7 linked regions of the Callithrix jacchus genome follow. The protein of the gene in region 6 interacts with the protein of the main gene of each other region in a biochemical or structural test. Links are inferred from orthologs where the notes say so. Each region holds a gene or a part of one and is shown on either strand. Other genes may lie near its edges.

The links.
Region 1: the proteins of RPS6KA1 (region 6) and PDZRN4 interact in a test that uses a peptide from one of them, tested with the Homo sapiens proteins (2 studies listed by BioGRID and IntAct, with this or other methods). The link is inferred for Callithrix jacchus from reciprocal best matches to the Homo sapiens genes RPS6KA1 and PDZRN4.
Region 2: the proteins of RPS6KA1 (region 6) and PDZK1 interact in a test that uses a peptide from one of them, tested with the Homo sapiens proteins (2 studies listed by BioGRID and IntAct). The link is inferred for Callithrix jacchus from reciprocal best matches to the Homo sapiens genes RPS6KA1 and PDZK1.
Region 3: the proteins of RPS6KA1 (region 6) and LIMK2 interact in a test that uses a peptide from one of them, tested with the Homo sapiens proteins (2 studies listed by BioGRID and IntAct). The link is inferred for Callithrix jacchus from reciprocal best matches to the Homo sapiens genes RPS6KA1 and LIMK2.
Region 4: the proteins of RPS6KA1 (region 6) and PARD3B interact in a test that uses a peptide from one of them, tested with the Homo sapiens proteins (2 studies listed by BioGRID and IntAct, with this or other methods). The link is inferred for Callithrix jacchus from reciprocal best matches to the Homo sapiens genes RPS6KA1 and PARD3B.
Region 5: the proteins of RPS6KA1 (region 6) and SNTA1 interact in a test that uses a peptide from one of them, tested with the Homo sapiens proteins (2 studies listed by BioGRID and IntAct, with this or other methods). The link is inferred for Callithrix jacchus from reciprocal best matches to the Homo sapiens genes RPS6KA1 and SNTA1.
Region 7: the proteins of RPS6KA1 (region 6) and GOPC interact in a test that uses a peptide from one of them, tested with the Homo sapiens proteins (2 studies listed by BioGRID and IntAct, with this or other methods). The link is inferred for Callithrix jacchus from reciprocal best matches to the Homo sapiens genes RPS6KA1 and GOPC.

What each region holds. Positions count from the first base shown.
Region 1 is NC_133510.1:34,504,202-34,508,194, forward strand, and holds the start of PDZRN4 (PDZ domain-containing RING finger protein 4), read right to left. Parts: upstream 2,801-3,993; 5' UTR 2,729-2,800; coding exon 2,081-2,728; intron 1-2,080.
Region 2 is NC_133519.1:8,110,114-8,113,613, forward strand, and holds part of PDZK1 (Na(+)/H(+) exchange regulatory cofactor NHE-RF3), read right to left. Parts: intron 2,731-3,500; coding exon 2,594-2,730; intron 676-2,593; coding exon 480-675; intron 1-479. UniProt on the Homo sapiens protein: A scaffold protein that connects plasma membrane proteins and regulatory components, regulating their surface expression in epithelial cells apical domains.
Region 3 is NC_133502.1:201,772,885-201,776,384, forward strand, and holds part of LIMK2 (LIM domain kinase 2), read left to right. Parts: intron 1-567; coding exon 568-754; intron 755-1,603; coding exon 1,604-1,690; exon of another isoform or gene 1,691-2,332; coding exon of another isoform or gene 2,333-2,339; exon of another isoform or gene 2,340-2,411; coding exon 2,412-2,543; exon of another isoform or gene 2,544-2,778; coding exon 2,779-2,835; exon of another isoform or gene 2,836-3,279; intron 3,280-3,500. UniProt on the Homo sapiens protein: Serine/threonine-protein kinase that plays an essential role in the regulation of actin filament dynamics. Acts downstream of several Rho family GTPase signal transduction pathways.
Region 4 is NC_133507.1:125,871,124-125,875,415, reverse strand, and holds the start of PARD3B (partitioning defective 3 homolog B), read right to left. Parts: upstream 2,801-4,292; 5' UTR 2,303-2,800; coding exon 2,183-2,302; intron 1-2,182. UniProt on the Homo sapiens protein: Putative adapter protein involved in asymmetrical cell division and cell polarization processes. May play a role in the formation of epithelial tight junctions.
Region 5 is NC_133506.1:5,910,538-5,913,397, forward strand, and holds the end of SNTA1 (alpha-1-syntrophin), read left to right. Parts: coding exon 1-12; coding exon of another isoform or gene 13-44; intron 45-1,431; coding exon 1,432-1,619; intron 1,620-1,720; coding exon 1,721-1,813; 3' UTR 1,814-2,360; downstream 2,361-2,860. UniProt on the Homo sapiens protein: Adapter protein that binds to and probably organizes the subcellular localization of a variety of membrane proteins. May link various receptors to the actin cytoskeleton and the extracellular matrix via the dystrophin glycoprotein complex.
Region 6 is NC_133508.1:63,217,814-63,220,644, forward strand, and holds part of RPS6KA1 (ribosomal protein S6 kinase alpha-1), read left to right. Parts: intron 1-1,633; coding exon 1,634-1,795; intron 1,796-2,028; coding exon 2,029-2,105; intron 2,106-2,338; coding exon 2,339-2,456; intron 2,457-2,831. UniProt on the Homo sapiens protein: Serine/threonine-protein kinase that acts downstream of ERK (MAPK1/ERK2 and MAPK3/ERK1) signaling and mediates mitogenic and stress-induced activation of the transcription factors CREB1, ETV1/ER81 and NR4A1/NUR77, regulates translation through RPS6 and EIF4B phosphorylation, and mediates cellular proliferation, survival, and differentiation by modulating mTOR signaling and repressing pro-apoptotic function of BAD and DAPK1.
Region 7 is NC_133505.1:123,866,828-123,870,455, forward strand, and holds the end of GOPC (Golgi-associated PDZ and coiled-coil motif-containing protein), read right to left. Parts: intron 3,615-3,628; coding exon 3,484-3,614; 3' UTR 501-3,483; downstream 1-500.

The sequences.
Region 1 (3,993 bases), on a different chromosome or scaffold from region 6:
TTTGAGACAGGCAGCACTTTTATCCTAATGCAGCATCTAATTCTGATTTCACTGTAATTGAAAACATATTTCTGGTTAAACCTTGGAGTTATCTTTATTTTTCCCTCCATTATGGAAAAGTAAAATATAAATTATCAATAGCGTAAAATTTTTATTTTGTAAAGTCTTAACGGAATTTAAAAAGACTTAACTATTTGTAAATAATATTCATGTTGCTGTTGTAATGCAGGATCTATTAGGCTACTGTAGTCCTAATTTTAAATAATATTCCTACTTGGTTTTGCATAATTCCTGAAGAATAGAAAGAGAGAATTTGTGCTAGGTAAAGTAGTATTTATTTATTTATTTTTTGGCTGGCCAAATAATCGTAAAACAAATAGGAATTATATCTGCAATGTTTATTAATAAAGACTAACTTGAACATAGGATGAATTAGCGCTGGACTAGGTGGGTTTTATTCATGGTTATAGATGTTATTAACTTTTGCTTAGAAATTACTTCTGAATGATAACATTCCATAAGCATTATCATCACTATCAGCATCACGATATTTTCCCAGGAGCTTTTCCCAGGCAGTGCACACAGCAGCCCCTACTGGTAGTAGAAAAACATTTCTGGGGAACACAGAGGTTTTGGCTAATCTGCAAATCATGGACAGTTTTCTCACTTCTCAGGATCGTAGCTTGACTTGCTGCATGGGGTTTTCTGTCATATTATTCTAGCCGTTGCTCCTTTCCTTCAATCATTGGTTTCCTGCGACCTTGAAACCTGGACTGGTAATGCAAAGCTTCTATCTGTGCTTTTCCCTGGGTCCTCCCATTTTGTAAATTTACCTGTATATATGCATATATGTATATGCATCTATGCACTAGAGAAAGAACCCTTGAAACTAGTCTTTTAGTACACGGTGCCCGTCCATTCATCAAGGTAGAAACACTTTAGTCCCTCTCACTACAATTTTCTCTTTTAGGTTTAAGTCTGCGCTTCTAAACTCAGTGCCTGAGTTGGAGGCAGTGTGGAGCAGCCAGTCCCAAATGGGAATCTTTCTGGGTTGCTCCTCCCCGGGAGTGCTGAAGAATGAAAACAGCTCCTTGAATGGAGCGCAAATTCTGCTAAATCCCTGCTCACCATGGCAGCGACCAACAATGTCAAACACTGTGCAGAAGTCCTCCAGGAGAGAAGTAACAGCTTTATAAACAAGCTTCTTCACACGGGGTGCTGCAAAGAGGCTTGTTTATTCGGTCTGAAAGCGGGCGGTCCAGGAGTGCAGTTTGGGGCCAGAAGCTTCGACAAAGAAGGGAAACAGCCGCTGTCTGGGGGCTCTCAGGGCCGGTCTGACCACAGATGAAGGCTCTCGAACTGGACTTTCCAGGTCTCACACACAACCCCCCACCCCACCCCCGCACCTTTCTCTCCATACCGATAATGAGATCCTGAGGCAAGGAAGGCTTATTTAGGGAAAGTCAGGATGATGAAAAGAACTCTGCAGGTCTAAGAACCCCCATCTCTCATTCTCTCAATTCCTGAGGCTGTCCTGGTCCCACCATGCCTCACAGTCCCCAACTTATCAGAAGGCAGTGGATGCAGGCAGTGGCAGGGCAAGTGTCACCAGCAGTGACAGGGCTCCTGTGGGTGCCGCTGCCAGGGGCCGCGGATCCCCGCGGGCAGGGGAAGGAAGCCTGGGCAGGGGGAAGTGTTTGCTTTCTTTCTTGTATTTGCTTCAGGCACAGGACAAAGGTTCAAAAATTAGGCAGAGACAGTGGGCAGGAAGGTAAAGATGAAGAACGAGAGTCTGGATGGAAAATGAGTTTTTCCAATTCCACGTTCCCAGGGGAAAGTTAGAATCCAATCTGTTTAACTCTTTCCAATCGTAATATAAGTAGAAAGGGGACAATCTTTAACTTCAATGCCAATCCATTCGCAAGATAATGACAGGAACTTATGATTAGGGCATGGATGCTTCCTGCTGTATAGTAAGAAAGGATGCCCCATTCCAAAGGGATCCTGAAGTGTAGGAAAGAACTGTTCCTCTTCCCACCCAAATCGACCATGCCTGGGGCGCCCACCCCCCTTTGCTTACCCTGCGGTGTCCGCCACCCAGGTCCCCGACGAAGTTGCAGATGTGAGCCATGTATTGCGTGAACTTCTCCTGGTACCTGCGCGCAGTGAGCCGCACCTCGCCCTGCAGCGCCCACAGCTGCGCCAGCAGCGCCTTCTCGCGCCGCCTCCAGGCGAGTACCCGAGGCCTGGGTCCCCGCCCGCGGCCACAGAGGCCGCCCGGCGGCCCCCCGCGAGCGCCCCCGCCCCAGCCGGCCCCTGGTGCCGGCCCGCAGCCCTCCCGCGCCGGCACCTCCCCACTGTCCGGCCCCGAAGCGCAGACCCCGAGGCTGCGGAGGTGGCTGGCAGGTCCGAAGTCGCAGTGTTCGACGTGCGCCTCCAGCTCTTGCAGCCGGACGGAGTGGCCACAGCCGCGGGAGCGGTAGTCACACTGGACGCGCAGCTTTTGGATGAAGCTGCGCAGCGGCAGCACCCGGTACAGCTCGCGGGGCGCCAGGGGCTGGCACTGCAGCGGGCACCGGCGCCGCCGCACCGCCCAGGGCAGCAGGCAGCTGGCGCAGAAGACGTGCCCGCATGGCGTGCACAGCGGCTCTTCCAGCACCTGGCCGCACAGCTTGCACTCGAAAGCCGGGTCCACGGCTTCTGCGAAGCGCTCCAGTGCAAAGCCCATGTTAGGGATGGGGGAGAAAGGGGAGCGAAAGCAGAGTCCGTCTTCTCCGATCCCCACTGCCTTCCCCAGTTCACCCCGGGGCAGCGGTCCCTGGGCGGCGGTAGTGGCTAGTCGGAGGGAGGTGGCGGGAGGGAGATATGATCTCAGTTTGTTTGGCTTAAAGTTTTCAGGCTCCGGCTAGGTCCCCTGACTTCGCCCGTACGCTAATAGAAGTCACCTCCAGAGACCCCAGCCTCTTCCGCTGCTGCCCTGCGATTTATGTTCTTTCAAATTTTGGCCGCCAGTTTACAAGGGTCCTTGGAGACACAGTGTTCTCCTTTGCCTGCACAATGAACTTCAAGCATCAAGGCGCCTCGCCCTGGGCAGAGCTGGTGATGGGTACAGCGCGAAATGTTGAGAAACAACTTTTTAAATCCACCACAATGTAAGCCTCGGGAGAGCAGAATCTTTGTCAGTCTGGTTTTCCGTTGAAAGCTCATGGTGCGGCGTCGAATCTATCTCCAATATGTTTGAAATAGAAGCACGTTTGTTCTTTCACATCAATCAATTACAAGGAAGCTGTGACCTTAGGAAATCACTATTAGGAAAATAACACCAGGAGATCCACAGAGCCAGGCTTCTCAAACCATGATTCAGAAATCAGGTGAGTTAGATAAGCACGGATCTTTGACCTAGCAGCAAAGACGGGGGGAAAGCCAGGTGCCCTCCTCAGGACTTTGCCTTTTCAGGGAGCTGCTGAAAAGCCATGCAAGGCCTCCTACTGAGGAAGCTGGGATTCTGAGTTTGACTCAGCATCCATCTTCTACTTCCACAGGCATGTTACTACTGGGACCGGGAATGTGATCATTTGGGAACCTGCAAGGGAAAATTAAAGGGAAAGATAATGAAAGAAAGCAGTGAAATAACACAAATAAAATCTTAGTGGCTGTTTCTTTCTACTTACCCTGAATGAACCCTTTGGATCCAAATTGCCTCCTCTCCCTGTTTGTCTCTTCCTATTATGTAGCATGACAAGCTGTCCTGAAAACACGCAGTAGGGCGTCATTCCAAGCCCTTATTCCTTCCACTTCCTTTACCACCTTCTGAACTTTAGGAATGCAAAGGGACCTGTCACCTGGCTGCATATCACTTACTGCCATTATCCTGAAGCTGCTACCAGATGCTTCGGTGGGTTTTATAAATTGATCATTGATCATTCCTTGCTGCCAATTGAGCCTTGTTCCTGGAAAGCTTGTACTTCTCTATGACACCAAATGGCATCAGTT
Region 2 (3,500 bases), on a different chromosome or scaffold from region 6:
TTCCCTGAAAGAACCTAGTGCTCTTCCTATTGAGCTGCAAGGAAGGAGGACTCCTGGCTCTCATGCACACCTGGGCCTCAGCTCCAGCAGCGAACTGTAGCTGGCTCACACCGGCTCACAAAAGCCGATTCTTAGCAGTACTTCTGTGTGTTCAGTGACATCGTGTTAGTAAGTTGAAATTGGACATAGGGGAATATTTACATCACAAAAAGCAAATGCTACCAATTTGGACTTTCCCCCACCCCCAGAGCCATCTTACCAGGATACAAATTCTGCCTCATCATTCAGCTATGGAAACTTTAGGATGCCCAATATCAGACCCTCATGTGACTTAGAATCTGACCCAGCTGTGCCTCCTTGTTTCTTGCTGTGCCCCTCATGCATCAGGTTGGGAGCTGAGAGCCTAACAGAACTCTGGAGTCAAACTGGATGAGGAGCTTGTTGGTTACACTGTGAAGTTTCCTGCTCCTGTGCCTCACCTTTCTGTTCTGGGCCTGCCCTCAGATAGAAACCGTAGCCATCCCTTCCTTTCCTCATCTCCACAATTCGGGGCTGGCGGGGTAACAGTTTCAAACTGGCTGTTTCTCTTTTGAATTGTATCTTCTGCTCACGGTGATGCTTGTCAGTTTCTTTGTCCACCAGCAGGAACATGACACGGCTTCCTGACTTCTTCACCTGCAACAACACACAGACGAGGAACCACATCAACCCCCAAGAACAATGTAAGGAATAAAAAAGTTTCCAGCTGGGCGCGGTGGCTCAAGCCTGTAATCCCAGCACTTTGGGAGGCCCAGGAGGGTGGGTCACGAGGTCAACAGATCGAGACCATCCTGGTCAACATGGTGAAACCCCGTCTTTACTAAAAATACAAAAAATTAGCTGGGCATGGTGGCGCGTGCCTGTAATCCCAGCTACTCAGGAGGCTGAGGCAGGAGAATTGCCTGAACCCAGGAGGCGGAGGCTGCGGTGAGCCCAGATCGTGCCATTGCACTCCAGCCTGGGTAACAAGAGTGAAACTCCGTCTCAAAAAAAAAAAAACTTTCTATATAAAGGCACACGGTCTCTAGGTTCCACACAAGATGGGGATAGAAGGCCTGCGTTTAGCTGCAATACTACGTCCTACCAGCTGACTGATAGGTATCTACCTCCACAGCCATAGTTGTTTTTCCCTTACTTATGACCCACCCACATAGGTACTAAGCCCAAGAAGGAGCTGGAATTCAGAAAACCCATAAAGGTGTGTAGGTAAAGGCAACAATAGGAGTTTGGAGAAAAAGAAAGTAAAGCTCCACTTCAAAAAATCATTCTACAAAGAGAAGTTAGTCAATGTTTAAGGTTCCATGTGACCTCAAAGGAGAATCTGTTATCCTCTACTTCCTATGAAATGTTTCAGTATTGCTGGGTGCAGTGGTGCACGCCTGCAATCCTAGCACTGTGGGAAGTCAAGGTGGGCAGATCACCTGAGGTCGGGAGTTCGAGACCAGCCTGACCAACATGGAGAAACCCCGTCTCTACTAAAAATACAAAATTAGCCAGACATGGTGGCGAATGTCTGTAATCCCAGCTACCTGGGGGGCTAAGGCAGGAGAATGGCTTGAACCTGGGAGGCGGAGGTTGTGTGAGTGGAGATCATGCCACTGCACTCCAGCCTGGACAACAAGAGTGAAACTCCAGCTCAAAAAAAAAAAAATTTCAGTATTATCGACTCAACAGTAATTTTATTGACTGAGACAGAGTTTCACTCTTTTTGCCCAGGCGGGAGTGCAGCTGCACAATTTTGGCTCACCGCAACCTCTGCCTCCCAGGTTCAAGCGATTCTCCTGCCTCAGCCTCCCGAGTCGCTGGAATTACAGACATTTGCCACCACGCCCGGCTAATTATTTGTATTCTTAGTGGAGATGGGGTTTCTCCATGTTGGTCAGGCTGGCCTCGAACTCCTGACCCCAGGTGATCTGCCCACCTCAGCCTCCCAGAGTGCTGGGATTACAGGTGTGAGCCACCAGGCCCGGCCCTCAACAGTGAATTTATTATAAATTCAGAGGGTGGTGGCACATGCCCGTAATCCCAGTACTTTGCAAGGCCAAGGCGTGCAGATCACTTGAGCCTAGTTGTTCAATACCAGCCTGGCCAACATAGTAAGACCCTGTCTCTACAAAAAATATAAAAATTAGCCAGGCGTGGTGGTGCACACCTGTAGTCCCAGCTACTCAGGAAGCTGAGGTGGAAGAATCACCTGAGCCCCGGAGGCTGAGACTACAGTGAGCCAAGGCTGTCCCATGACACTCCCACCTGGGTGACCGAATGAGACCCTGTCTCAATCCAACAGTTGAGAGGGGGCTCCCAATCAGATACAAACCAGATCCAAAAGGTAAAGGTAGTAGTTTTATAGACCTCATGTGAAATCAGGGGAGGCTTTATTCCAAACCTCTATATCAACACTGCTTATACCTGTAGTGTGGTCTGTTCACCTTTAACATGAAATCAACTGGGTACTTTTTCCATCATAAACTCATGCTGACCCTACCACCATCTTCCTGTCACCTCCAATGAGAACAGTGGAAGACAGGGTAAGAAAGTACCCTTTGGGGCATACCTTTTCAACCACTTCCTCGTGGCTGGCATCCTCTACGTTCTCTCCATTCACTTCAATCAAGTGATCATCAGACAGAACTCCAGCCTTCATAGCCACACCCTGAGGTGTAATGTCAGTCATGTATACCCCCTTTTTACCTGGAAGAGAGTAGAGGTAAACTCCATGGGGAGGCGAAAGTGACTCCCTGCTGGATGCTAATCTGCCATGGTGACTTCTGATGGGCCCCAGTCCTGTGAATGCCTCCTGACTCTACTTCATTTACCGTCCCGAGTGTGAGAACATGTCAGCCTTGATGTTATCACACAAATTACAGGCCATGATGTAGAGCATTCTTGCCAATCGCAGAGGGCTGCCTTCATACACCTTTTCCCTGTGACAGAGCAGCCCTGTGTCTGGAGAGTAACACTGCAGAGACTGTGGTTTCCGGCTGTCCAAGAAAGTTTGTAAGTTCTCCGACTATATTCCAATATACCGACAAACTGGATTTGCCCGCCTTGTCCTTTGGCTTCTCAGCTCCTTCGGCATCGGAGGACTGTAAGGGCACACACCACCCTTTCACAGAACACTCCATTGCACAGAAAAACCAGAAGTCCGATGGTAAAGACTTTTCTCCCAGTAATGTAAAAATAGAACTTCCAGTTTTAGAGCTAACTCAAACAGCCTTTGGCTTCTGATCTAAAATCACAGCGACAGCTCCTAACACAGAACTTGACACAGCCTTCACTCAGTGGGTTAGAGTAGAATTGTTGAATAGAATTTCTGAGGTCAGCTAAATGCAAAGATGGAATCTTAGGCGGCCCTGGCCTCTTGAACCGGGGGTTACTGTGTCATACGCCCTTTCTTCACGTTTGTAGAATCGGAAAGCGTCTATCACATGCCAGTGAGGTCATCTCACCCATACAGGTGA
Region 3 (3,500 bases), on a different chromosome or scaffold from region 6:
GTGGCACATGCCTCTAGTCCCAGCTACTCAGAAGGCTCAGGCACAAGAATCGCTTGAACCAGGAGACAAATCGCTTGAACCAGGAGACAGAGGTTGCAGTGAGTCAAGATCACACCACTGCACTCCAGCCTGGCTGACAGAGTGAGACTGTCTAAAAAAAAAAAAAAAAAAATCCCATTTGCTCATTTTTTGGATACTAGTATAACTATCATTCTAAACCAGTTAGTACCTTAAGTCAAGCAGATATGGGAGATGGTGAATTACCATCTATAATGTTGTCATGTATGTCATATACTGAGCATTATAAGCTAGTAGAATCTAGTTAATTGTTTTGTGTGTGATGTATGCAGAGTTCCCATTTTGAATGTGTTTTTACTATGCTTAAATAAATGAGTGATGTCTGCAACCCCATAATGGCACATCTGATGTAAGAGCCCCTGTTCCCCAATAATAGCATCTAAACTATAGACATTGGAATGGACAGGTGCCCCTAGGTTCCTTCCTCTAGGGTTTTTTGGTGGTCTCTGAGGACTGTGTATCCCTATTCCCATCTTTCCCCATCTTTAGGCGCAGTAACAGCATCTCCAAGTCCCCTGGCCCCAGCTCCCCAAAGGAGCCCCTGCTATTCAGCCGTGACATCAGCCGCTCAGAATCCCTTCGTTGTTCCAGCAGCTATTCACAGCAGATCTTCCGGCCCTGTGACCTAATCCACGGGGAGGTCCTGGGGAAGGGCTTCTTTGGGCAAGCTATAAAGGTGAGCACAGGCAGTAATTGCTTTGTTTTTATGCCCTCAGCCCCCCTCTTTCACTGTCTTTCGGGGATTTCTTATCACTTGGCCCCACCCCATACCCTGCAGGACATCAGGCCCCCTTCCTGGCTTTGGGTGATAGTATGAAAGGTATCCTTTGCATCCACCCAGGCCACCTAAGGTCAGTGTTGCTGTTACAATGAGCTTGTGGACCTGGAGATCCAGCTTGGGTTGAGCTGTGCTTGTGGTCCTCCTGCCACCAGTCAGTGGGTGTTTGTTAGGTGCCCCCAGGCCTTAGTACCGGGCATGCTACAAGGAACACACAGGGGCTTCTGCCTCCCTGGGAAACAGTCTTGGGGACTAATCTCTCTCTTTCTCTCCTCCTCCTCCTCTGCTGAGAACTGGGAGGGGGGGTCAGGTAAGCCATGTGTCTCAGCTTGTGGGGGCAGCGGGGCTGGAAAGTTTACCCCTGACCCACCCAACTCCCTGGTGCATGTCTTTGGCACTGACTTTTCTGCCCCCAGACTTCTCTGTTCACTCAAGAGACTCACTCCGGTGCCAAATGACCAGAGCCCCTGCTTGGCTTGGCAGTGTCCCCTCCTGCCTCCTTCCCCATTTCGCTTTTCTGGGTTTTTGCCTATCCTCCATGCATGCCCAGCTCTCAAGGAAAGAGGATATGCTTCTGTCTGAATCCCCTGTTGCTTCACGCTGCATCTTCCACACATTAACTCTGTCAGTCTGACTTGGCTCAGTATACCTTTCAAAGGGTGGGATGGCCAGTTGCATAGATTTTCTCCAACAGTTTTCCAGAACTGCCTCTGGTCTCAGCACCATTAATAGTTACCCTCCCTATAGGTGACACACAAAGCCACAGGCAAAGTGATGGTCATGAAGGAGTTAATTCGATGTGATGAGGAGACCCAGAAGACTTTTCTGACTGAGGTAAGAAGATGGAGGGGGACTAGGAGTTTGGTGTCACCATTGGAAGAGGGAAGACCTTACAAATAATGGCTTCAAGAGGAAATATAGTTTGGATCACTGACTTAAAGACTAAGCAAAAAAGAGCACTAAAGGAATATCCCCACTCCCTCTAAATTACAGCATAATTATTTGTTCAACGAACACTTACTAAAGGCAGCACAAACTGGGTACAAGGGATGCAATAACAAAAGATACATGTTTCAGAGGAGCTCTCAGATTATGAGGGTGATGGACATGAAAACAGACCAATTTAGTACAGCTCTGTTACAATCCTTACCTGAACACCCTGCTAAGGGAACCTGGAGGGGAGTTCCCTGAGCACTCAATTCCTTAAGCGTTTACAGTTTTCACCACCTCTCCCAAGTTACTTCATGGAGCAACTTCAGTTGGCGACACCTGTGGTCCAAGTACTGCCCTCCGAGGCACTTGGCCACTCCCACCACTGTTCCCCCAGTGAAGTTCCTAGAAAGGGAGGATGCCAAGGGTGAGGCCTGCGAAGCCATCTCCGTCCATATGATGGGGTTCTTCCCTCATCTTGATCTTAGTCCTGTGCCATATCACAAGGTAGGCAGTAGGAGATGCAGGTGGTAACACTTGTCAAGCTCATTCCCTGGAGGGAAGGCATAAGGAAGACATAGTAAGATGTTAACCACCAGCTTTCCTTGGCTTCCCCCACCACCAGGTGAAAGTGATGCGCAGCCTGGACCACCCCAATGTGCTCAAGTTCATTGGTGTGCTGTACAAGGATAAGAAGCTAAACCTGCTGACAGAGTACATTGAGGGGGGCACACTGAAGGATTTCCTGCGAGGAATGGTGAGCACAACACCCCATAGTCTCCAGGAGCCTTGGTGGGTTGTCGGACACTTCTACTACCATTACCCTGGGAGTTTAAAGGCCAGAGGAGCCCTGCTTTGCCCCCAAAGACCATGCTGGGCGGGTCTAGGCACAGACAGGGAGGCTTCACTGGGAGACCATATTGACTCGTGGGTCTGGACCACGAGTGGGACAGGGCTTAACAACCTCCAACAGTCATTCCCCTATCCTGCAGGATCCGTTCCCCTGGCAGCAGAAGGTCAGATTTGCCAAAGGAATCGCCTCGGGAATGGTGAGTCCCACCAACAAACCTGCCAGCAGGGCAAGAGTAGGGAGAGGTGCAAGAATTGTGGGCTTCACTAGAAGGTAGAGACCCCTTCCTGTGCATCTTGTGTGGGGTGGGTCAGCAGCTATTCGTTGTGTTTGTCTGTGCCACTGAAACTACCTCTAGCCAACTGTTCTTAGCTCACAGCCCTATTCTCAAAGAATTACACATCTCTAAGGGCAAACAGCGTGGACAAGGCAAACTAGAGAGGCAAATTGTAGCCTGAGATGGCCTGGCCTTGCTGTTCAAGGTGTCCAGATGCTAAGGGCCCTTGAACCAAGTAGAGCACCTCACTGCATAGGAAATCAGTGAAGGAGAAATGAGTTCTAGCAGAGCCCTGAAGGGTCAGAATTGGATAAAAAGTTCCTATTGGCAGAGAGGTTCCAAGATTGAAGCGACAGGAGCAAAGACCTGGGAGGAAAGAAGAGAAAATCATCTATTTTACCTGGAAACAAATGATTCCAATCATAGCAATAACAACAGCTGACACGTACTGAGTGCTCTCTATATGCTAGGCACTAAGCTGAGGAATTAATATGCAGGTGCATGTTTAGTCCTCATGACAACCTTGGTTTCCAGATAAGAAGCTGGGCTGGAAAGGGACAGAGCTGGGATTGGGTTAATCAGTCTGA
Region 4 (4,292 bases), on a different chromosome or scaffold from region 6:
TAATGTGATTATTAGTATGAAGAGCAGGGCTTAAAACCTTGCTGTCTAGGAAGACAAGCCTTTTAACTGTCTTTCACTGATTTATGGAAAGTGAATTTATTACACATTGTTTTTCAAATTGAATTTTGACATTTCTGGCCATTTCTCATTTAAAAAAATAAAAGCATGGAATTTGTTATTTATTGACCTTTCAATGCCATTAGGAATACCATTTAATATTAAATATTATGATTACAATATTTAAAATGAAACTATGGGAGAAGAATATTTGGGAAGGAGAAAAAATCATCACTATTTCTAAAAAGGAAATTTTAAAAGCAAAAAAAATTTATATGCTGTAGGTAACCTTTAAATGTCACATTCACTAATATATAAATGTAAACGGAAAAATACAAGTCTGGTAGTAACAGTAAACTGATCAATGCAATTACAGCATGGGTTCTGTGACATTATAAGTTACATTTCCATTCCAGAATATCAATAATTTTTTACCACCTTTTATGATCAAATTATAGTGCATTAAATACCATCTGGTTAGTTCTCTTCATACTATTTACAAGCTTGTAGCTTATCTCTTACTTGGACAGCGCCCTGTACTAAACTTCTAAGTATACAAGATTTGAGGGCATAAATTATTTTTTAATAGTTAAAAAGTAACTTCAACTCAGTAAGACAGTCCTTCAATAAGATCTCAGTAATTTGTCTGGAGTAATGCTGTTACTATTAACTTTAACCCACTTTCAAGAGTTAGTAAAATATGATTTAATAGACAATTGATTACTTGTTTAAATTTCAGTTAACTGAATTACATGATATAAACAGCACGCGCTATTTTAACAATGGCAAACACACACACAACATTCCAGTAGATTTTCACATGGTTTTATAAGTCACTAATTTTTTCCCTCCTCCATCTCAATTCCATCAATAAAGAGTTCATCTTTAGGGGTTGGTCCAGTTCTTAAGTATCCAAAGCAACATATGCATGTATTTATCCAGAGCTGGATTTTTTTTTTTTTTTCTGTAGAATAGTCCTTACTGGAGGCAAAGACAGTGCAAGTATTTTCTTAAACCCCTAAACTATATACTTGTAAGAAATAATTACTTTCATGCTTTGGGTAACCTATAAGAAGTTAAAATGTAAGATGATTTACATTTTTCCATCACTAGATTGACCAATCTACTATGTTAGTCACATGGCCTCAGACCAAATTTTAAGAGAACCATTAGCTTCTAAGACAAGAATTTGTGACTTGCCCTGTTTGAGGAGGATTTGAGACATACAAATTGTTCCATGTGAAGATTCAAAAAATTAAAAGGTTATCCAATGTATTTTTAAAAGTTTCATTGAGGAAGTCCCAGAGGCCCAATGTTACCCAAATACTAGGCATAGGTTCTAGCACCAGATATTTTCTCATCATGTATTTCACACTTTAAAAAAAAATTCTCACTTAATTTTTACTTGTTCCTGACCTCAGCGACAGAGGTAGGGACATCTTTCTCATTTTAATAGTCACTCGGGACCTGAATAACAGCCCACACACATGATAAATGCTCATAGAATCTGTGGCATTAAACTGAAAACACTCAAAATGTAGACTGGCTGGATAAGCAAACATTCTCCAACCTGCGTTCCTGCCAGTCACTGAGACTGGGCAGCTCACAAGGTTGAAACTCCAAAGGCCCCATCAGTTCTAACTTCCGAGTATGTGTCACTTGTACAATCAACTTTCTAAACTCCAGGGAGCCGAAGTGAGGCAGGCCTTAATGGGTCAAAAATCACACTTAGATAAGCAGCACCTTTTAAGACGTTCCCTCAAACAAGTTCCAAACCGGTGCTTCTCAAACTTCAGTGGGTATTCCAATCACCTGGGGATCTCGTTAAAGAGCAGATCCCGAGTCAGTGGTTTTGGTGTTTAAGTCCCCAGATTGGGCAGTTCAAAGGAGCTCCCAAGAGATTCCAATGCTGCGGTTCCACCAACCACTCTCGGAGTTCAAGGCCCACAAATGCCCAAAGACACCCAGGTCTCTGATATTAGCAATAGACAACAGATGCATCTACAGGCAGTGCCCCATTATCCCTTGGGTTTTCTGCATCCCCTGAGCGTCGCCACCACCACCGGGTCGCACCTGGCAGGTGCCCTGGCCGCAGCCGCGCCCCCCTCCTCCTCTCTGCGCTCACCTTCTCCCGGGTCTTCAGGTACCGCTGCAGCGCCTGCTGGGTGAGCTCGCCGACGCGCAGCTGGCCCTCCTTGCAGGGCACCACGATGCCCGTTCTACCGAAGCACACGGTCACTTTCATCCTGGCCCCCGGCGACCACGCCGGGCAGGGCCGAACAGGTGTCTGACCCCGCGGGCGCAGCCCCCACTCTCGGAGGACGCCAGGCGCGGGTGGGCCCGGAGACCCGGGGCGCCGCTCTCCGGGGCACCCTGAGGCCCGGGGGCTCGCGGCAGCGCCCCTTCCACCCGGGCAGGCGGCGGGCAGCGGGAATCGGGGAGGGACGGCCACGGAGAGGGGTCACCTCCCAGGTGCCCGGCGGCCCGGGACGCTGCGGCTCTGCGGCCCGGCTCCTCCTCCTCCACCTCCCGCTCCACTCCTGCCCGGCCCAGGCTGCTGCTCCGCGCCCACCAAAGCGAAACTGCTCGCCCTGCCCTGTCTCTGGCCCTGGCCCTGGCGGCGGTGGCAGGGCCGGCCCCAGGCCCCGGGCTGGAGTGGGTGGCGGCGGCGGCGGCGCGCGGGGCTGGAGTTGGGAGGAAACTTTTGCGCCGGCTCCCAACTCCTCCGCGGCGCCCGCGCTCTGGGCTCCCGCGGTCCCGGGGCCGGCCTGGGCCCGGCTCTTAAAGGGGCCGCCGCGCTCCCCGGCCCCGCCGCGCTCTGGGCGACGCCGTGCCCAGGCTCTGCGGGCCGGTAAGTGGAGCCCGGGAGCCTCGTCCCCTCAGCTGGGTCGCTCCCTGGCTCGCTCCCTCTCGCACGCATGCACACGGAGCTCTGGGGAGCTGTAAGGGGACCCGAGGGCTACCCACTCGGGGATTGAAACCGGATCTCAGAAAGCACACCCGAGAGAAGAGCGAGGAGACTGCAGAGCTGCACCCTTCACAGGAGGGGACTGCAGCAAGATGCAAAAGGAGCCCGGGAGCAGGTGCTTCTAGTCACGCCCACCAAAAACACCCCGGGGGCGAGGCTGCCAGGTGCTGAGAGGCTGGAGTGGCTCGAGGGCCTGTTAGGAGCTCTCTTAAGCACAGCCTTGGCAGCTGCTGTCTAGAGCCCTGGGATAGCAGATCTGAAGCGAACCTTTCCTTTTACGGACGAGGACACCGAGTATTCGGCCAAAGGTCACACCCCAAACCCAGATATGATCGCGTGTGTTGACACATAGCCTTCTGGAATGCGACTACTGTTGGGCATTTTATTAGAAAAAAAAAAGTTAAACACCTTTAGGCTCATGATTTGGCAGGTGTGTATCTATCGCCAATTGAAATGGGACTATGTGGAGGGCAAATCAATGAATTACACTTGTTTCATTCTTAGGTCTCATGTAAATAAGCTCCTTTGAGCTTAACAACAACCCCATAGGTAGATACTATTCTTCGCCTCTTGTGCATAAAGAACGGTGCCCCGGAGAGGTCAACAGAGGTGTTGGTAGTTCTGTTGAAAAGAACTCAGGTCTTCGGAGCTCAATCTCTGGTCTCTCCCAGCAGTTATCTTAGCCGGATATCCTGTAAGACCCTCAGGGCTGCATCATGTGTTTCTCTACGGAAGGATTTACTCCTATGTGGACACACTTACGTTGAACTGGAATTGCCTAGGATGGTATCATAATGCACAGGAGATTAAATTTATGGGTTTTGAGAGATTTTTTTAATTAGCTCATTCATACATTCAATAAATATATATTGGTTGTCTTCTATGTATAGAAGGTCAATGGCAACCAAGAGGATCATGTAAACCAAGTCCATAGTAATTTGGTTAAATATCCAATACAAACTAATTTATATTTAAATAAACCAAAGACAGAATCGATCTCCTCATAGAATCAGAAGATCCAGAGAACACTCCCTTGCGGCAAGGCTGAAAGCAGAAACTCAAACCATATCCTCAGCGGCTAGCTCTCTCCAGCTCTTGGCTCTATCTGTTCCTCAGTGTGGTCTCAATTCTCAGCCCAGCTCTCTTCAAAGAAGGCACTATATCCTCTTATTAGAGATGAGTAGCTGAGACCAAAGGAGATTAAATGGTTTGGTTACAATTTCATTCTTAGAATGTACCAGAGGCTGGCTTAAAACCCAGGCCATCT
Region 5 (2,860 bases), on a different chromosome or scaffold from region 6:
AGGTGTCTACAGGTGTGCTGGGAGGATCTGGGAGTGTCCCTCTGGTAATGAGCCTCTTCTCCTCAGGGACATTCAAGCTTCCTTCTTTAGGGCACTTCAGACAGGAAATGGGGTTTGGAGGTCAAGGTGGGTGGATCATCTGAGGTCAGGAGTTCGAGACTAGCCTGGCCAACATGGCAAAACCCCGTCTCTACTAGTAATACAAAAATTGGCTGGGTGTGGTGGCTCACACCTGTAATCTCAGCACTTTGGGAGGCTGAGGCGGGTGGATCACTTGAGATCAGCAGTTCAAGACCAGCTTGGCCAAATGGTGAAACCCCGTCTCTACTAAAAATATAAAAATTAGGTCAGGCGCGGTGACTCACGCCTGTAATCCCAGATACTTAGGAAGCTGAGACAGGAGAATTGCTTGGACCTGAGAGGCGGAGGCTGCAGTGAGCTGAGATCACACCACTGCACTCCAGCCTGGGCGGCAGAGCAACAGTCCATCTCAAAAAACAAAACAAACAAATAGAAATTAGCCAGCCATGATGGAACACACCTGTCATCTCAGCCACTTGGGAGGATGGGGCAGGAGAATTGCTTTAATCCTGGAGGTAGAGGTTGTAGTTAGCCCACATAGCCCCACTTCACTCCAGCCTGGGTGACAGAGCAAGATTCGGTCTCAAAAAACAAAATAAAACCAAACAAAACCCCAAACATTAGCTGAGCATGGTAGCAGGTGCCTATAGTCCCAGCTACTTGGGAGGCTGAGGCACAAGAATTACTTGGGAGGTAGAGGTTGTGGTGAGCCAAGATCACACCCACTACACTCCAGCCTGGGTGACAGTGAGATTGTTCCTCAAAAAAAAAGAAACCAACGTTGGGTTTGGGCCTCTGTTTTGGATGTGCAGGTGCCCTGGTAGGCAGAGACTCTTCTCCCTGGGGTTTTCTTGCCCCAGCTTTGTCCATCTGCTGAGGATGTGAGAGATGGCACTTGGGGTAGGGCTGCCAGATGAAATACAGGACACCCAGCTACATTTGAATTTCAAGTTAACAATGAATACTTTTTTCATAGAACTATGCCCAAATTAGTCATTGCTTATCTGAAATTTAAATTTAGCTGGGCAACTCTGCAAGTCTCCAAGGGTGGTGCTTGGTAGATCTGATGATGCCTTTATCAGGAGTGAGCCTCCTGTCCATGACAGATTTTAAGCTCCCCCCTTTATACTGTAGTGCTGCTGGAAGTGGGGCTGGAAGTGGGTATAGGTCCTCTGAGGGTGGGGGTGGTGACTCTCTGCAGGATGGGTATACAGGTGCCACAACAAACAGTGATCCTACCATACATGGAGGCATTTAGGCCCCACTTTGTGACGCTGCGGTGGGGGTTGGAGGTTGGGGTGTGGTCTCTGAGGTGCCAGCTATGCCTGTACCTACGTGCCCCTCCTGCAGCCTGCACGTGGAACGGGCGTCCCTGCAGCCTGTCTGTGCACATCGACAAGGGCTTCACACTGTGGGCGGCTGAGCCAGGGGCAGCCCGAGCTGTGCTCCTGCGACAACCCTTCGAGAAGCTGCAGATGTCTTCAGATGATGGCGCCAGTCTCCTTTTCCTGGACTTTGGGGGTGCTGAAGGCGAGATCGTGAGTGAAGGGCAGCCTCTGTACCCTGGGGAGGAGGGGGTGTGCACTCTTGGAAGCCAGGCTGGCCAGGGCCCTGACTCTTCTCTCCATCCACCCTGCAGCAGCTGGACCTCCACTCGTGTCCCAAAACCATAGTCTTCATCATCCACTCCTTCCTCTCGGCCAAAGTCACCCGCCTTGGGCTCTTGGCCTAGAAGTCGCCGGATGCACTAGCCCTGAAGAGGGGTGTCTATAACATGGCCTGAGCTGGGCCTCCACCGAATGCCTGCTCGCCCCTGGGCTGACAGAAGGGAGAGGAGAGGAACGAGGTTCCTCAGAGACCCCGCCCCTGAGGGAGGCTGGATTGGTCTTGGGGCCCAGGACCCAGACCCAGGACAGAGTGGACCCTGCCTGTGATGGGGTAGCCTTCCTGCTGCCCCCCTCCACTAGTGCCTTTTGCAGAGAGATATTTTGTGTACACAGAAGCCATTCCAAGCCTGGGACCTGCCCCTGTGTGGATCCTGACCCCAGCCAACAGCTGAGCTGCCAGGCCTCCTTGAGGCCCCTAAGCCACCCCCAGAGGTCCCATCTGAAGCTGGAATACCTGGGGTCAGCGGCAAGAGAAAGAAGAGGAGCCTTTCTGTTTGTTTTTCCCCTTAGCTCCGCCACCTTGGGGAGTCTGGTTTTTCTCTTCATCCTTTCTCTCTCCTCCTTACTCTTGGATAAATAAATAGCCTGTGAGCATACAGGCAGCCTGGCCCAGTGTCTGTGGTCTGTGCCTTGGCCTTTGGGCCCTGGGGTGGCCCCTGCAGTCCCAAGATGGACCAGACCAAGGACCGGGGCACCTTTCCCTGGAGAAGAACAGACCTTCACCACAGGGCCAAAGAGAGTGTATTGGTTATTTATTTTTGTGTGACAAATTACCCCAAATTTAGCAGACAAATGACCCTGAATTTTGCAGCTTAAAATGACAAATATTCATTATGTCCTAGGTTCTGTGGGTCAGGAATTTGGGAGGGGCTAAGCTGGGCTGTTCTTGTCTCAGAGTTGCTCATGAGGTTGCAGTCAAGTTGTCGGCCAGGGCTGCAGTCATCTGAAGGCTTGACTGGGGTCGGAGGATCCATTCCAATACTGCTTATGGTCATGAGGTCTCAGTGCCTCACCATGCAGGCCTAACCCTAGAGCTGCTGCTTGAGTCTTCTCATGATATGGCAGTTGGCTTTCCCCACAGTGAGACAGAAGATAGAGCAAGGAGGAAGCCA
Region 6 (2,831 bases):
TGTTAGGCGAGGGACTTTGGCTGGGACTTTGTCTTGCAGGTAGGGAGCCTTTTTGACAGGGTTTTTGACAATGCCCAGGGAGGTTCCATTAGCTCAGGGGAGAAGGAATAGGAAGATAAGGACATGAGGAGTTTAGTGTGGGATGTGTTGAATTTGAGGCTCTGTGGAACATCCCGTGATTGCCAAGTGGTAGGCAGCTGGATTTATGAGCCAAGACTCAGGTAAGTTCTAGACTAGGGTTAGAGATCTGAGAGGTATTGGTAATTGATAGTTAGAGGATTGACTATGAATAGAACTGTACAGGCCAGGCACAGTGACTCACACCTATAATCCCAGCATTTTGGGAGGCCCAGACAGAAGGATCACTTGAGCCCAGGAGTTCAAGACTAGCCTGGGCAACAAAGCGAGACCCTGTCTTTACAAAAAAATGTTTCAAAAATTAGCTAGGTGTGGTGACACACACCTCTAGTCCCAGCTACTCGGGAGGTTGAGGTGGGAGGATCACTTGAGCCGGAGGCTGTGGGTGCAGTGAGCCATGATCATGCTACTGTACTCCAGCCTGGGCAACAGAGACCCTGTCTCAAAAAAACACAAAACAACCTTACGGAGTGTGAGAAGGATAAGAATGAAATGTGGAGTGGTTCATCCCCTTCAAGTTAGAGATGAGCAAGCAGGGCCCAGAGGAAAGCTGTTTGCTTATGGCCTCAGCAGTAAGTGTCATTCATTCATTCATTCATTCATTCAACAGGTGTTCATTAAATACTTGCCATGTACTAGGAGCTAGTTTAACTGCTGGGATACAGCAGTGAGCAAAACACTCATGGAGTTTACATGCCAGTGGGCAGATTCCATAAACAAATTGAATATTATGTTAAGTGGTGGCAAATGCTACAGATCAATGTAAAGCAGTATATTCATAGATTATAAAGATTAGGAAAATAGGGCTGGGTTCCGTGGCTTATGCCTGTAATCCCAACACTTGGGAGGCCAAGATGGTGGATCACTTCAGGTCAGGAGTTTGGAACCAGACTGGCCAACATGGTGAAACCCCATCTCTTTTTTTTTTTTTTTTTTTTTTAATCATCCAGCCCAAAATGTCAGAAACCCTGTCTCTACTAAAAATACAAAAAATTATCCAGGCATCGTGGGGGGTGCCTGTAATCCCAGCTACTCTGGAGGCTGAGGCAGAGACTTATTTGATCCTGGGAGGCAGAGGCTACAGAAAGCTGAGATCTTGCCCCTGCACTCTAGCCTTGGTGACAGAGGGAGACTTGTCTCAAAAAAAAAAAAAAAAAAAAAAAGAATGACACACTTTTTAGATTTTGACCTAAGTAACAGGAAGGATGGAGTTGCCACGAGGTAAGATTGTGTGATGAGTAGTTTTGGGAGAATTGGGAGTTCAGCTTTGGACAGGTTGACTTAGAGCTACCTGTGGACACCTACACAGAGTTCAAGTGGGCAGTAGCAGCAGCAGTAAGGCCCTCATTTCAGCCCTTTCCCCTTCTCTCGGATTCCAGGTCTGTGCTCCCATCTCTCCACACCCTATCTGTGTAACTTTCTCATCCCTGGCAGCTGACCTGGGACACTAGCCACCTCCCTGCACTGAGAACTGATCCCAGCCCCCTGCCCCTAGGTTGTGCACAGGGACCTGAAGCCCAGCAACATCCTGTACGTGGACGAGTCCGGGAATCCTGAGTGCCTGCGCATCTGTGACTTTGGTTTTGCCAAACAGCTGCGGGCTGAGAATGGGCTCCTCATGACACCTTGCTACACAGCCAACTTCGTGGCACCCGAGGTGAGTGGCCCAGCCTCCTCAGCTATAAGAGAGGGGGAACCGGAGGCCTTGTGCCTTCTCCCAGAGGCCCCACATTGGCCAGGGCTCCAGTCTCTGTGACCTTGGCCCAGCTGGCAAGGGAAGATCTAGCCTGTGGCTGAGACCCTTGTCCTGCCCTTGAGAGCAGTAGCAGGAGCATCTGTGGCAACTTTCTGCTGCCCCCAGGCTGACCACCTGCCCTGCCCTGTTGCCAGGTGCTGAAGCGCCAGGGCTACGATGAAGGTTGTGACATCTGGAGCCTGGGCATTCTGCTCTACACCATGCTGGCGGGGTGAGTGCCCCTTGGCCTGGACCCTTCCCCACTCCTGCAGCCCTAGCATTTGGGCTGGTGGTGCTTGTCTGATAGGAAAGGCTCAGCCAGCCCTGCCTCAGGATGGTCTGGAAATAGAGACATGGTCCTACCTTGGGAGCACCCCTTCTGTGGGGAGACACAGTCTTCCACCAAGCCCCAGCCCCAGGATGGAGGCCAGAGTCTGTACCCAGACTGTGCGGGCTTTTCTGCAGATACACTCCATTTGCCAACGGGCCCAGTGACACACCAGAGGAAATCCTAACCCGCATCGGCAGTGGGAAGTTTACCCTCAGTGGGGGAAACTGGAACACAGTTTCAGAGACAGCCAAGGTGAGTCTGTAAGGCCTGCATGGCCTCATTTGGAGGAGGGAGGCAGGGTCCCGTCCCAGGGCTTTTCAGCTGTTCGTGAACGGCCTCATTTCTCCAAGTAGATGTTCTACAAATCCCTGTTGCTGTATTTCTCCAAGTGGAAGATTCCCAGGCAGACCACCCCCATGACCCCCGCACCATGTTAGGGTAACTTGGTGATCATTCACTGGCCCTTCTCATTCTGGGCCCTATAGGGCACAGAGGGCTGCATAACCACAGTCCCGGCCTCTGGCCTTGTGGAAACAGTGTAGTGAGGGATACAGGTTGGCACATAAGGAACAGCAGTGCCTGGCGGCCCAGATAGGTGGACCATCTTGGCCAGGGGTGTGGACCATG
Region 7 (3,628 bases), on a different chromosome or scaffold from region 6:
CCTAAAACAAAACACCAATTAAAAATGAAAATGCAAGTTCTCTTTAAAATTTCATAAATTGACCAATATCCTATGGGGTTGAATTCTGGGGGAAAGACTTCTTTTCAAATCACTTGGTGAATTGTGAGCTTAAATCAACACACAGAAAGCATATATGTATTAGCACTAAATCAAGGTTAGTCAGTGACAAAACTGTATTTCTAATGTTCATAACATTTCTAAATGTTCATAACTCAAGTCATTCATTTACAAGTATTTTCCAAAAAGTATTTTACATATAACATAGGTACTTCTAAATTATATACAGAGGTCAAAATGGAAGAATATCCTTTTAAATGGTGTCTTAAAAATAGGATTGGTTTTCTAACATATGTTTCCCTCATACATAACATCAGCTGCCAATATTTATAACACAAAATTAAGCCCAATCCTTTGCACAGACTTTATGATATATTGGTACAAATAATAGAAGCTACTAGAAATAAATAATAAGCCAAATATTTAATATGAAGGAAACAAAATGTTTATTTAAAAAAAATGAGATCAATATCATTTTAATGTAGAATATGCCATCTTTATTTACAGGCTAATAAAAAATATTAAACTCAAATTAACTAGATATAATACATTGTCATAAATGCAATAGACTTGAGGCCAACCATAAGTATAAGACTGGATGGAATAGGGATTACATAAGCAGGATGTCAAATACTGTACATCTTACACATGAATCACATGAAACCTTTTTGTTTCTAAACATGAAAATAGAATAAGTCCACTGTGTACAGTAAAAAAAAACTTTCTGTGGGGGGGAAAAAAACAGCACCACAGACAAGCTGTGCTAATTTTTGGTAGCTGTTGAGTTATAATTATCAAGACTCACAAAATTTTCACCTTTCTTAAATCTATTTTAATAATAGTCTCATTATCAAAATGTTGCTTTTCCATCATATTCATAACAGAGAACTGTAGAAGAGTATTTTAGAGGTTAAGTGTAAATATATACACACGTCCATACAACCCTCACATTCTATCAAGACATTTTCTCAACCATTCTGTGTACACATGTGCGTATTTCTCCTACTGTCCCTTTCTCAATGAAATGGCTTTGTACCAGTTCCCTCCTTACTTGTTTGGTTTTGTTCTAGAAGCTTCAGGGGCATATGAATCTCTTTCCTCTAAATGTGAAAATAATAAAACTGGTTCTCAGTCCTTTGGAACTAATAACTAATTCTTAGTTCATCCCCAAAGACCATACATTCTAAAATAAACTTTTAACTAGTTACTTTCTAACACGTGATAGGAAGTTCACAGTAGCATCTGAGCAACAGTGCTCTACCGTAGGCTTACAAACCCCACTGAAGCAGGAATGTAAAGGAAACTGACCGGTGGAGTTTTAAACTACTTGGGAATTTTTCCTTCTATTTATCATTCCTTAAAAGGAATTTATGTCATAACTGTCTCATACAATCCTTCAAATTACACAGTGACCTCATAAAAATTCCAACTTGAAGTTCTAGGAAAAAAAAAAAAACACCACTTATTAGGTAGCTCTTGAAAATCAAAGGGTTCTAGCTTACATTTCCTAAGGATTCAGTGATAGTAGATAAAGGATATTCTCTGAAAAAAATACCATGGCCATTCCAACCCAGGCTGTGCTTTAAGAAGATAAGAATAACATGGTTTCATGTCACAGCAAAAAGTTTTCAGGTCAGCTACAATGGGAAATTCTTTTTACTAAATAAATACAGTGGCTAAAATCCAGTTTGCAGATCTTATGTCATGCATGGGAGGTATGTGTTTGGCATAAGGAGACAAGCTTTTTTATTCTTTCTTTCTTTTAAGAGTCCTACCCTGTCAAAAGCAAACAATAACATGTGACTTGCTTATTCATTTGTACAATTAAATACTAGCTTTTGCTCAGAGGCAATGCTATAAAGTATTTTAATATCAGTAACAATATACACTATGAAGTGTACTTCTATTACAAATTAACATGGTGATATACAGATGAACACCACCCAAAACAAACCATAAATGAGCAACAGTTAAAACATTAAATTTATAAATAGCAAAATCACAAAATAAAGTATATACATTTTATAGATTTACCCTTGAACAAATATATAGTGCATCTGGGAAAGACAAAAAAAAGTGTTTTGTCACATAACATCTGAATACCAGAAATGAAGATACTGATAATATTCTAAAAGCCTTGTAGGCTTTCTCCCACTTAATATTCCCTTAACAGTGATATTAGCAAAACTGATTAGCAAAACTATCACCTCTTTAATGTAACATTTTGACTTTGCCCAGCCGGTTACAATGACTGCAGAATAATAGATCAGAGAGGAGACACTCCATATTTAATCATGGGACAAGAGACCTTACAAATTTATAAACCTGCATATGAAGAGAGCTTTAGTCAAACATAAACTGACACATGAAAACCCAACTAAAACAATTACTGTGTAAAAATGTCTTCATCTCATCTTGCCCACATTTTAGATGATTCGAAATCATTTACTTAGAAAGAAAACTGCTGTTTGATTTGAACGTACTGTGTTTCATGACATAGTAAAAAATCTGAACTTTTACTACCAGAAAAATTTATCTTTAAATGCCAGAACTATCACAAGACAAACTATGAACAACTCAAAATGTATAAAACTGTCTTTTGTGGATCCCAGAAAACAAGCATTTGAGACTCAACATGAATGGGTAAATGCTCCATACTGTGCACACAGATCAACATAATTGAGAACAGATGTTTTATACTCATCTGCATTTCTTTTAAAAACCAAGAAAGTCAAATGTTTAGTAACTTTTGAGAAACTATTTCTAGTGCAGCATTGATTGATAAAGGATTGTTTAAAGAAAACTATTTCGTACTGCACTGAATAAAGCTGAAATGCAAACTCATTACAATAAATGATCATTAAGTATTGATTTAGATTTCAGGATGCACAAATTTTTTTTAAGTCTAAAACCTTTCTTTCAGTTAAAAAAAATTAAGTCCGGTCTATATTTCTACAATTCATTTGAGTCAAGTTCTGTTTTCTGAAATACCACAGTTAACTTTCTAGAATATATAATATGAATTCATGTACTCTCTGTATTTTAAAGGGTATTATAAAATTCCAATTAGCACTGTCCTCTACTAAAGAGAAAAGGAACCAAATAAAACAGTAGGGTTTCATTTGGTACTTAAGAGCCCAGTAATACCCTTCAAGAAACACATGCTTTGATGCTTACAATTTCAAGAAAATCAAAATTGCTTACATGCAATAGCTAATTATGGCCTACCACAAAACACAGGGGGTTTTATGCATTTAGAATTGTTCACATGAAGCCCTGAGGTACCTGCCTTTCATTTAGGCAACAAACAGCCTCCCCTGATTTTGTATAGTCTTTGTCACCATCTTCCCCAGTGCCCCAAATTCAGAATAGTCTGATTAACAATCTTGTCTGGAGATAGTCAATTTAATAAGATTTATTATGATACAGACTGTGCAGATCATCTAATTTTGAAGCACTGTCGTCTAGCGGAGTTTCACTTGCATTGCCCAGGTCTCCATTTTCATGTGCGTCAGTTACTGCCTTCTTATTAAATCCTGAAAGAAAGGAG